Canis lupus familiaris: one gene and its partners. The protein of the gene in region 3 binds, or shares a complex with, the protein of the main gene of each other region. Links are inferred from orthologs where the notes say so. Each region holds a gene or a part of one and is shown on either strand. Other genes may lie near its edges.

Evidence for each region.
Region 1: HNRNPH2 (region 3) and PA2G4 share a complex: the UniProt entries of both Homo sapiens proteins name them as parts of the ribonucleoprotein complex. The link is inferred for Canis lupus familiaris from reciprocal best matches to the Homo sapiens genes HNRNPH2 and PA2G4.
Region 2: HNRNPH2 (region 3) and SRSF1 share a complex: the UniProt entries of both Homo sapiens proteins name them as parts of the ribonucleoprotein complex. The link is inferred for Canis lupus familiaris from reciprocal best matches to the Homo sapiens genes HNRNPH2 and SRSF1.

The regions. Positions count from the first base shown.
Region 1 is NC_049231.1:783,997-787,646, forward strand, and holds part of PA2G4 (proliferation-associated protein 2G4), read left to right. Parts: coding exon 1-42; intron 43-343; coding exon 344-438; intron 439-555; coding exon 556-683; intron 684-858; coding exon 859-912; intron 913-1,124; coding exon of another isoform or gene 1,125-1,190; exon of another isoform or gene 1,191-1,456; intron 1,457-3,650. UniProt on the Homo sapiens protein: May play a role in a ERBB3-regulated signal transduction pathway. Seems be involved in growth regulation. Acts a corepressor of the androgen receptor (AR) and is regulated by the ERBB3 ligand neuregulin-1/heregulin (HRG).
Region 2 is NC_049230.1:32,652,976-32,656,725, forward strand, and holds the start of SRSF1 (serine/arginine-rich splicing factor 1), read right to left. Parts: upstream 2,751-3,750; 5' UTR 2,603-2,750; coding exon 2,409-2,602; exon of another isoform or gene 2,002-2,408; coding exon 1,817-2,001; intron 1,443-1,816; coding exon 1,270-1,442; intron 1,071-1,269; coding exon 876-1,070; 3' UTR 1-875. UniProt on the Homo sapiens protein: Plays a role in preventing exon skipping, ensuring the accuracy of splicing and regulating alternative splicing.
Region 3 is NC_049260.1:75,730,614-75,734,363, reverse strand, and holds the end of HNRNPH2 (heterogeneous nuclear ribonucleoprotein H2), read right to left. Parts: exon of another isoform or gene 3,573-3,750; intron 2,762-3,572; 5' UTR 2,709-2,761; coding exon 1,359-2,708; 3' UTR 533-1,358; downstream 1-532. UniProt on the Homo sapiens protein: This protein is a component of the heterogeneous nuclear ribonucleoprotein (hnRNP) complexes which provide the substrate for the processing events that pre-mRNAs undergo before becoming functional, translatable mRNAs in the cytoplasm. Binds poly(RG).

The DNA of each region.
Region 1 (3,650 bases), on a different chromosome or scaffold from region 3:
TGAGGTGGAGAGGCGTTTTGATGCCATGCCATTTACTTTAAGGTACTATGACTGCACTTAACAAGAACAGGACTCAGAACCAGCCTGACTCATAGACCACACACCCAGGAACACTGTTACCTCTCCCAGTGCACCCCCTCCCACCCTGCCCCTGCCTAGACTTGTAGCTCCAGCCTGCATGCATGCCTTCTCTCCCTCTCCCCATTGCCCTCTCATCGAAGATAATGTGCAAGAGCAATCCTAAGCATGATTTCTGCCTGAGGGTAGGAGCTATTTAAAAACAGGAAAATGGTAAGACTTGATAGGGGGTTAAGGATACCTGAATCTGTCTTCCCTCACCCAGAGCATTTGAGGATGAGAAGAAGGCCCGGATGGGTGTGGTGGAGTGCGCCAAACATGAACTGCTACAGCCATTTAATGTTCTCTATGAGAAGGAGGGTGAGTTCTAAGAAGAGAGTTTCACTTTGGAGCCCCTAATTAGGGTCCCCACCATCTAGCTTCAGAAAAGATTATGACAGGGGGTCATTTTATCAAAACCTTTCCTTTCTCCTATAGGTGAATTTGTAGCCCAGTTTAAATTTACAGTCCTGCTCATGCCCAATGGCCCCATGCGGATAACCAGTGGTCCCTTTGAGCCTGACCTCTACAAGTCTGAGATGGAAGTCCAGGATGCAGAGCTAAAGGTCAGTGTGTGAGCACAAAGGAGACAAAGGAGAGTGGCGAGCACATGGCACCTGTCCTGGGAGTGAGGATGAGATGTCAACAAAGGCCTGAAAAGAGTTAAGATACTGAGAGTGACATTTCATGTTTCCTCTACATTGCTCAAAATTTGTTTTCTTTCTTCCTCCTCTTTTCCAGGCCCTCCTCCAGAGTTCTGCAAGTCGGAAAACCCAGAAAAAGAAAAAAAAGAAGGTGTGTTATGATCTTCCCTCTCTGGCAGGGTGAACCTGATCTGTCTTTAGTCTACCTTCCTGGGTTGTGGTGGACGTACATATTTCTGTAGATCCTTACTGCCCTGCTTGGCCCTGACCTAAAGCATTAGGATGTTTTTGCCCTTGGTCTCCCAGATACTATTGCAAGTAGTTGGAAACTGGTAAGTCTTCCTGTTCTTTCCATGAATATAGGCCTCCAAGACTGCAGAGAATGCCACCAGTGGGGAAACATTAGAAGAGAATGAAGCTGGGGACTGAGGTGGGTCCCATCTCCCCAGCTTGCCGCTCCTGCCTCATCCCCTTCCCACCACACCCCAGGCTCTGTGAAGTGCAGTTCGTCTTCTCCACCCAGGACCGCCAGCAGAGCAGGGTCTCCCTGCCCCCATCCCTGTCCCCATCCCAACCCCTTCCAACAACAACCAGCTCCAACTGACTCTGGTCTTGGGAGGCCAGGCTTCCCAGCCACCGAAGACTACTTTAAATAGAAAAGAGAAATTGATAATAAAATCAGGAGTCAAAATTCATCGTCTTCAAGCCCCTCTTTCTAGCCTTTTTCTACTACTCTCTGCTTGGTCAAGGTTTATGGCCCTACAACATAACAGGGAGAAGGCTAAAGTAGCCACCACCACTAAAAACTCAGCTGAAATTTTTTTATACCACTCTGGTGTCAGCATTTTCCCATCTGTTGGGGCTTGTTCCTCTCTTTTCTCACTCCCCAGGTATTTTATCAGGCCTCAAAATATAGAGAAGAGCTATATTCTTCAGATTGTTTTTATTCACATGTAGCAGATTCCTTTTCTGATCCACACTGTCTGGTTAGGCCCCTCTCATTTTTAGGAGCTGGGGCCTGAATTTACCAAGGGATTCTCATCTGTCAAATGGATCCTCATTTGTAAATCTCTTTAGTTTTAGTCATTTCTGTTCCACAGGACTTTTTTTTTGTCTTCACAAAGCTGTGAAGAAGTAATCCATCTCAACCTTGTCCATTTCTTTGGAGTCAATTGGAGGGGGGGGGTCAATGCATTCCCCTGCTCCATCTTAGAAACCTGAGCTGGAAGCTCAACTGGTTTTTGTTCCCTGTTTGAAATATTTTGACCTCCCTCCCTGAAAGACCAGGAACCAAAGGAGCAGACTGACTGAAAATACAACTTTTGGCTTTTTGAAGCTGTGGACTTGGATTGGATGAATTGCTAGGGGTTTGGAGAGAAAGGTGATGAATTTCAGTACCTCTGGCATGCTGTCCCAGGAACTAGGGCTCCCGCTAACTTATGAGGTTTTTAAACATGTTGAAAATGACATGGCGTTAAAATAAATTTGGATTTGCTCATAATCCTGGTGCCTTCATATGGTGCTCTTATTTGATGGAGGTGGGGGAAATGTCAGTTGAAGTGATAGTCATTTGGAACTAGTTTTCTATGTTGCCACATTCTGTCTTTCTAAACCAAGAAGTACTGTGGATTGGGGAAGACCTAAAGCCTGGGTTCTCTGAATTAAGACAGTAAATTTTTAATGAAAGTTTTTAAATTTTTCTGGAGTAAAATCTTACCCCTTGTTGGTGACAATTTGTTTAGGACAAGGTGTACTGTAAGAAAGAAAGCCTGTATATAAGTATATTGGGGCACCTAGGTGGCTCAGTTAAGTGTCGGCCTTTGGCTCAAGTCGTGATGTCAGGGTGCTGGTATCGAGCCCCATATGAGGCTCTTTGCTCAGTGGGGAGTCTTTAAAAAAGTATTTTGATTTCAGAAACCAGGAAAAATGCCTTTGTCATTAGGCAACTTTTCAGGGCCAGTCTGAGATGGATGGATGATTTATTAGACTATCTTACTTACTTGTGAGGCTTTGCTGATACAGAGATAACTATAGTGAACAAAATAATGTAAGTCCCTTCATAAGAGCTTATAGACTACAGTTGACCCCTAAACACAAGGATTAGGGGCACCAACGTGCTGGCACAGTCATCCATATGTAACTTGACCCCCCAAAACTTAATAGCCTACTTTTGACCAGAAGCTAGAATAACCATTAACACATTTTACGTGTTATAGGCATTATATACTCTATTACAGTAAGATAAAGACAATCACAAGGAAGAGAAAATACATTTACGGTATTGTATATAGATTAAAATTCCACGTGTAAATGTACCCATGGCAGTTCAAACCTATGTTCATATGGCAACTGTAGTGGGCAATCAACAGGTGAAATGCTGGTGGACTTGATTTAATGTTGATGGAGGTTTTTTTTCAAAAATTGTTATATTCTTTTTTTTTTTTTTTTTAAATTGTTATATTCTGATGGTGACAATACTAGGTCTTCTTAAACGAGGGCCTGAAGTATTTTTTTTTAATTTTTTTTTAATTTTTATTTATTTATGATAGTCACAGAGAGAGAGAGAGAGGGAGAAGCAGGCTCCATGCACCGGGAGCCCGACGTGGGATTCGATCCCGGGTCTCCAGGATCGTGCCCCGGGCCAAAGGCAGGCGCCAAACCGCTGCGCCACCCAGGGATCCCCAAGGGCCTGAAGTATTAAAAGTTTTTTTCCAGTTAAAAAGATGAAGTGTTACTGTGTAAATTATAAAGGAAAACACGAAAAAAGGATGATCACAAAAAGCTGTACACTCTTACTATAAAAGTAAGGTGAAATCTGTATGGTAAAGGGCTCTTTCTCATCCTTCCTAAATCAAGTTTCCTATAGCCAAATCTATGGGTATGTTTTCT
Region 2 (3,750 bases), on a different chromosome or scaffold from region 3:
ATTTAGCAGTATTGATATTATACTCTATCTGGTTGGAATTAAAGACACCCTGTACCCACATGTACACCAACAGCAGGTCACACATTAACAGTTGTAACTAAGCACTGTGACAAATTAGCCAGTTCTTCCCACATTAGTCCCTATTAAAACAAAAAAGGGGGGAAGGGAGCAAAATAATTGTTACAAAATGGGCAATGTAATTTTGCCACAATTGCCAAGGTTTAAAGAGCAAAGCAATTGTAGCTAAAGATAACTGCACAAGATGTTTGCAAGTGTTTTAAGGTAGATGTATATATATATATATATATATAATCACTTTTATCCCTTGCCTTTTAGTATAAGGTCAATACTGCCAATTTCATCTGTGACAATAGCACTTGGAGTCATACCATTGCCTCCATTATTGATCTGATCCTCCTCAATCCTCCTTTTGACAATCCTAAAATGATTGAAATGTGCTCCACAATCCTTAATCCAAAGCATTCTTAATCCATCTCTTCAGATATGTCTACAGAAAGACACATGAAAAGCAAGATAAACATAAGAACTTCCCCAGGTAAGATAACCACAAACACCCCCAACATCCCAGTTCACACAAACCAGAGCAGAATAGACATTTACACAATATCACAGTCTGAAGAGCATGGAGAATTAACTAAATTTCAACAATCCTGTCTATGACATCACTTAAAATACAATTTATCAGACATGAGGGGAATGTAGATGTTAGGAGCAAGGGGATATTACACAAGAATGCAATTCAACACTTTAGCCCATTCTGAACAAAACAGTTTGAATTAAAAAATGAAAAGATTGTACTGAGTAAAGGAAAACTGTATACAACATGGGTTCTACAAAAAGTGTCACCAATCATCTTATGTACGAGAGCGAGATCTGCTATGACGGGGAGAATAGCGTGGTGATCCTCTGCTTCTCCTTGGGGAGTAACTGCGACTCCTGCTGTTGCTTCTGCTACGGCTTCTGCTACGACTACGGCTTCGAGATCGAGATCTTCCATAACTTGGACTTCTGGGCCCATCAACTTTAACCCGGATGTAGGCAGTTTCTCCCTATTGAATAGACAGAACTTTCGATTGAAAGATCTAAGCTTTCACCTGTCTTCAGGCATGCTGAACGAATACAATGTAACTAAAACCAGAAATCTGGTATTTTACTTGGACACCCTTGCCTGAATCTTACCTTCAAATTCCACTGTTAAGACCACTGTATCCAATTCTGGCCAAAGAAAAGAGTAAGTGTAAAACCTACCTCATGAGATCTAAACTTAGTGTTATCCAGTTTTCGAACTGCATAGGTCATATCTTCTTTCCGTACAAACTCCACGACACCAGTGCCATCTCGGTAAACATCAGCATAACATACATCACCTGCTTCACGCATGTGATCCTTCAAATCCTGCCAGCTTCCACTTGGAGGCAGTCCTAAAAAAGTATTTTTTCAATACCAATCACCCTAAATTTCACACTACACTTAAAATCTATACTAGAACGAAAACCACTTTAAAATTAATCAGATTCAAGATCGTAGGTAAGAGAGCCATTAATTAAGATTCTGGAATCCAAAGTCCCAAATTCTCTGTAAAGTAAGGATCTTCATCGTCCAGGCATCCGACCTAATGGTAGGTAACTAGCACACTGGTACACCTCCACTACGGTTATCCTTTACTAAACTCACCCGAGAAACTAAATTTAAGACCTACCACAAAAACAGGCATTTGTCAAAACCACTCACGCAAGGGAACACTTAAAAGTGGCTCCTGTCCCTCCTCAACAACCCTCACCAACAGAAAACTCACCGGAGACAACCACTCTGTTTTCAGAACGCCTGGATGGGGGCCCATAGCGGCCTCGGGGAGCCCCGCCACCTCCACCCCCGCCGCCGCCTCGGCCTGTACCACGGCCGCTTCGAGGAAACTCCACCCGCAGACGGTATCCATCGTAATCATAGCCGTCGCGACCGTACACCGCGTCTTCCGCGTCTCTGCGTGATCAGAGAAAGCAAGAGGTGTAAGAGTAAGGCCCGGGAGGGGCAGCTAACTCAGTCGGGAACTAGCGGCCCCCGCACATGCGCACCCAGCGAGGAAGAGCCCACATGCGCTGCATAATAGGAATGGCCCCTCCCCCACCCAGAAGCACGCCAGGCTCCCGACCACTACACCAGCCCTCGGCGCCTCAGTTTCCCGCTCCGAGACGGAGAGTCCACTCTGGGGACGTCCGTGGGCCCAGCCACCAGAGAAACCACATCGACTCGGCTCTTACTCGACTCCTGCATGGGCGACACAGTCTTACCCCCAACCTAAAAGCCCACCTCCCCATTCTCGGTAACAAGGCCTTTCCCCAACTACTCCAACTTATTGCCTCCAGGCGGCGAGGCCCAGGCCGCCTCACCGAGGGTCCTCGAACTCAACGAAGGCGAAGGGCGGTCCTCCGCGGCGATTCTTGAGATCGATGTCGCGGATAGCTCCGTATTTGTAGAACACGTCCTCAATGTCCTTGGTTCGGATGTCTGGAGGTAAGTTACCCACATAGATGCGGCAGTCGTTGTTCCCTGCCGGGCCACGAATCACACCACCTCCCGACATGGCGGCGACGAAAAGCGCGGACTCGAGAACAGGCCTTCCCACCAAGCCTAGCGCACGGCAGAGCGAGCCCGCAGCGACACCACGTCTCCCGCGGCCCCTCCAAAATGGCGCCTTTATCAGCTCGGCGCACGGATATGGGGGGAGGGAGGAAGAGAAGCGGGAGGAAGCTGCTATTCGGCCTCAGTACGCACGCGCAAGAGCGTAACGGGTGCTGCGAGCGGTACGCTCACGCATGCGCGACGTCACCCTCCGCGCGAAGGGAGAAAAAAGTTCCTCGCGTTCTGGATTTGTGGAGTGGCTCGCAAATGACGTGACCGGCCCTTTGGTAAAAATTAAACAGAGATCCCTCGTCCACGGAGCTACTAATCCCTGACGAATCTTAAAGGATAGTCCGTTTTCTCAGGAATGAGTCTCTTTTAAAACAAGTCCGCGCCTTAAAAGCATTGGGTGAAACCTAGCCTGGAGCCTTGTCCCACGATGCTCTGCGGCGTTAACGGCCTTTGGCGGGAAAGACTGCTGGGGGCGGAGCTAAGGGGGGAGGGACCTGGCGGTTGCTCCGGAAACGGGAACATCCTCGTAGAGGGAGGCTGGTCCCGGAGCTCCGCTGTTGGTGCTTCAGTCCCGAGCTGAGTAGTGATTTTGTTTTCCTGCCCCCTCTGGTCTCAGGCGGTGGGCTGCTCAGACAAGTGTCTCATTTAGGGCAACCCAGCTTAGACCCGGTTCCACCGCCGGCTCAGAACTTGACTTTGTATAGCTCAGCTCAACACGCCTTGACCTAGTGGCGGTGGCCGAGCCCTGACCAGTCAACTAGGACTGAGACCTCAGCTTCTCTTTAATCGCCCATCACTGGGCCTAGCGCAGAGGTGAGGTCCATTGAAAGGTTGAAGAGTGAATTGTGCCTGTTACGTATCCAACTCTTTCAAAAAAAAAAAAACAAGAAAAAGCGCGCGTGTGTTGGCAGAATCCTGGAGTTTGTTCCTCTTTCTGACCTCATTCCCGAGCCTCTCAGGTAATATTTAAACGAGCTGGGGGGATGTGTTAGAACTGTGACCCCTGGAGACCACAGTTGCTGCTCAGAACTGATCCCACTTGCATGGCGGCCCAGGGAAATAAGAACCTGTTAACATTTTTTTCAGAGATATCTGAAA
Region 3 (3,750 bases):
ATAGATCTTAAAAATAATGATACAGTGAACAATTTATGTATGATGGTACTAATGTGTGTTTATAAAAATTAAATTTAAATTTCAGTGGCAGGGGCACTGGGTGGCTCAGTGGGTTAAGTATCTGCTTTTGGCTCAGGTCATGACCTCAAGGTCCTGGGATCAAGCCCCATGTCCGGGACCCTCCTCAGTGTGGAGTCTTGCTTCTCCCTCTCCCTTTGCCTGCCATTCCACCCTGCTTGTTCTATCAAATAAATAAATAAAAATCTTAAAAAAATAAGTTTCAAGTGCAGAGGACTTGTATCAAAGAAATGGTTCATATGATGGAACATTTTTAAAAAATTAAGCTGTTGGGGCGCCTGGGTAGCTCAGTTAAATGTCTGCCTTCAGCTTAGGTCATGATCTCAGTGGCCCGGGATTGAGCCCTGCATCCAGCTCTCGGCTCAGCGGCAAATCTGCTTTTCCTTCTTTGATCTCTCTGCCTCTCTCTCTCTCAAATAAATAAAATTTTTAAAAGAAATCAAGCTGCACAAGATTTTTCATTTTTAAAAGGAAGATTTATTTAACAAGTTTCACTTAGTACAATACATCTAATGGAAATCACAATACAAGGAAAGGTTTAAATCAAAGTCTCAGAATCTCATACAAACAACATGACCAAACTCCTAAAGTATTGGTATTACATCTCAAAATTGTCCCAGATCTTTAAAAAAGTAAAAGTGTACACTCACGTGCCTTACAGGATATTAAACCAAAAAGCTAGAATTAACAAACATGCCAAATGTTTTCACTTTGAATCGTAGACACAGCTCCTATATTTGAGTTTTACAGAAAAGCATGTTTCTCAACATGCATCCAAAGTTTTCAAGGTATTGTGGTATAAGAGCAACATTTAACATAAGTGAAACTGCTTTAACCTAAATAATGCTTACTGCTTAGGTATACTCCTACAATGTAACTAACTTGAGGAAAGCTGAAAATTGTTTTAACAGTTATGGTCAATACTGAACGTTGTTATTACACCCTAGATGAATGTTTCAGTGTTCAAAATTACTGAGCTTAAAGTTGTAAAACCTTGACTTCCACTTTACAGTAAGCATGAATCACAAGCCTGTAATGCAAAACTGTTAAACTTAACTTTTGTTTTCTTAAAAAAAAAAAGGAAAGAATGAAAGAACGAAAGAACGAAAGAACGAAAGAAAGAAAGAAAGAAAGAAAGAAAGAGGAAGCTGACCAAGAGTGATCAGAATCAGTATTTCCCATTTACCAATCATACTGGATATACTAGACATCCCTCCCATTCTACAACTCCCATAAATGCAGAGATTTTATTTTTGTAATAGCTGTTTAGTATTGTTTACTTAAGCGAGGTTTGACTGATAGTCACTGGAGTTTTCCTGCAGCACTTGGTCATATCCACTCATACTGCTCTGACCACCGTACCCACCTCCATAACCCCCGCTTAGCTGCTGGCTGGCAGGGCCCCCATAACTAGATTGGTTGGATAAGCCCATTCCTCCCATCATTTGACTACCATATGCACCACCACTTGCCCCTGCTGTAGAATTCAAAAAGAGTTCTACATAGCTGTGATCATAAGCACCCCCACTTGTTCCTGCAGTAGAATTCAAGAAGAGCTCCACGTATCTGTGTTGCATATTAGCTTTGTCTTTTGCCATAGCTGCCACAGCATCTTCATGGGTAGCAAATTCAACATCTGCCTCACCAGTAACTCGGCCATCGGGTCCAATTTCAATGTGCACTCTCATGGGGTTAAGAGGTGAGAAAAAATTGTAAATATCATTCTCAGTGGCTCTGTAAGGTAATCCCCTCATGTGTACACAGTGCCCTGTGGTGCTCTGGAAACTGGACCCACCATCTCCATATCTATGGTCAGACATCCCTGAAAAACAGTAATTGAGGTCTCTTCCAAATCTATCAGACCCAAAGCCATAGCCATCATTATAGCCACCATAGTCATCATAGCCTCCATACCCTCCACCATAGGCACCACGCCTCATCCTTTCAAACCCAGTCCCTCTGCCAATACTATTATACCCTCTGCCAGCCCCTGGCCTATCATAAGGACCTGGCCGCTGCATAGCCATGAGCTTTCGCGGGGGGTCGTAGTGGGTTCGGACTTCAGCTCGGCTACTCTTGAAGATTTCAATGTACCTATGCCCTATTCTTTCCTTGTGTTTCTTTAAGGCCTTTTCAGCTATCTCCTGCGAAGCAAACTGCACAAAGGCCTCCCCCGTGCTCCGCCCCTGAAAGTCCACCGGCAGTGTCATCCCATTTGGCACAATTTCCAACCCTGAAAAGAACTGAACAATCTCTTCCTTGCTACAGCCAAATGGGAGTCCTCTAAGCCGGACGAAGCCATCGTTGGCAGTATCAGGACTATTCGGACCTGTATGCTTCAACACCCAATCCATTTCAACACTGTTGGACTTGAACACTTCAACGTATCTGTGTCCCATGGTTTCTCTGTCCTTCTTCAATGCCAATTTCACTTCATCTTCGGATTCAAGTTCGACAAACGCTTCACCACTTGGTCTGCCTTCTCTGGTATAGATGAAACGAATACCTGATGTGCCGTTTTGGATCTTGCAATCAGAGAAGAAGCGCATCACTTCATCAGCTGAGCAGGACCAGGGTAGGCCCCTGACCTTCACCACGAACCCCTCCCTGCCTTCCGTGCTCAGCATCATGATGATTGTTGGGCTCTTGGTGGCAAGCTTGGCTCAATGCAGTTTCAGTGTAGCTAAAAAAAAAATTAGAAGACTATTGTCATGGAAAAATGTTCACAACATAGTAAGAGAAAAAAGCAAACCAATAATATAAAACTCAAACGGATAGCTTTGTTCTAAAATATTCATATAAATAAAAAGACTGCACCAAATTTTTAATTCATTCATCCAAAGATTATTTACTCAATACCTATTATGTGTTGAATACCGTTAATAGTGGTTATTTCTGGGCAGTAGGCTTATGGGAACTTTTTTATTAAAGGAGTATTTTCTTTGGACATTTCTATGTTTTAGGTTTTCTATATTGAACATATATTAACATCATAGAACACAAAAGGCATAAAAAATCAGCAGCAAAATCACTGGAAGCTGTGAACAAATACGAGATAGCTATACCTGATTACATAAAAATGAAAAACTTCATTACATCAAAGGTAAGATTAAACAGAATTAAAAGACAATACACTTGAGAAGACACAACAGTACATTAATATCCTTATATAATGAACTCATGCCAATTAATAAAATCAAGGAAATATTAAGGCCTAAGCAATAAATGGGAAAAAGACATTAAGGGTGATCATACATTCATTTTATATTTTTCAACTGGCAAGTCCAGTACTTGGCTTTGGGATACAAGGATCAATAAACCAAGAAAGGGTTTATAGTCCTACAGGGGCATTATACATCTTTACTAAAGGCAAAAGGGCAAATAAACATTATTCCTGCTATGACAAAATTCTGTATAGCGTGAAAAGGTGGTATAAAACAGGGACTAGTTGGTCAATTCTAACAGTTGGCACAGAATTGTTTAAACAGACTCACCAGTTCAAGGATCCACAAATAAATTTTTAAAAATTACAATGGAGCATAAAATAGGATGAGCCCAGGCAAGAAGTTAAGGCTGGCAAGGTAGAGAGTAAGATCCCAAAGGCCTTACTTGATAGACAAACGTTAAGAGTCTTCTAAGGGTTTTAAAACAGAGGAGTGGGGTAGGGGAGTG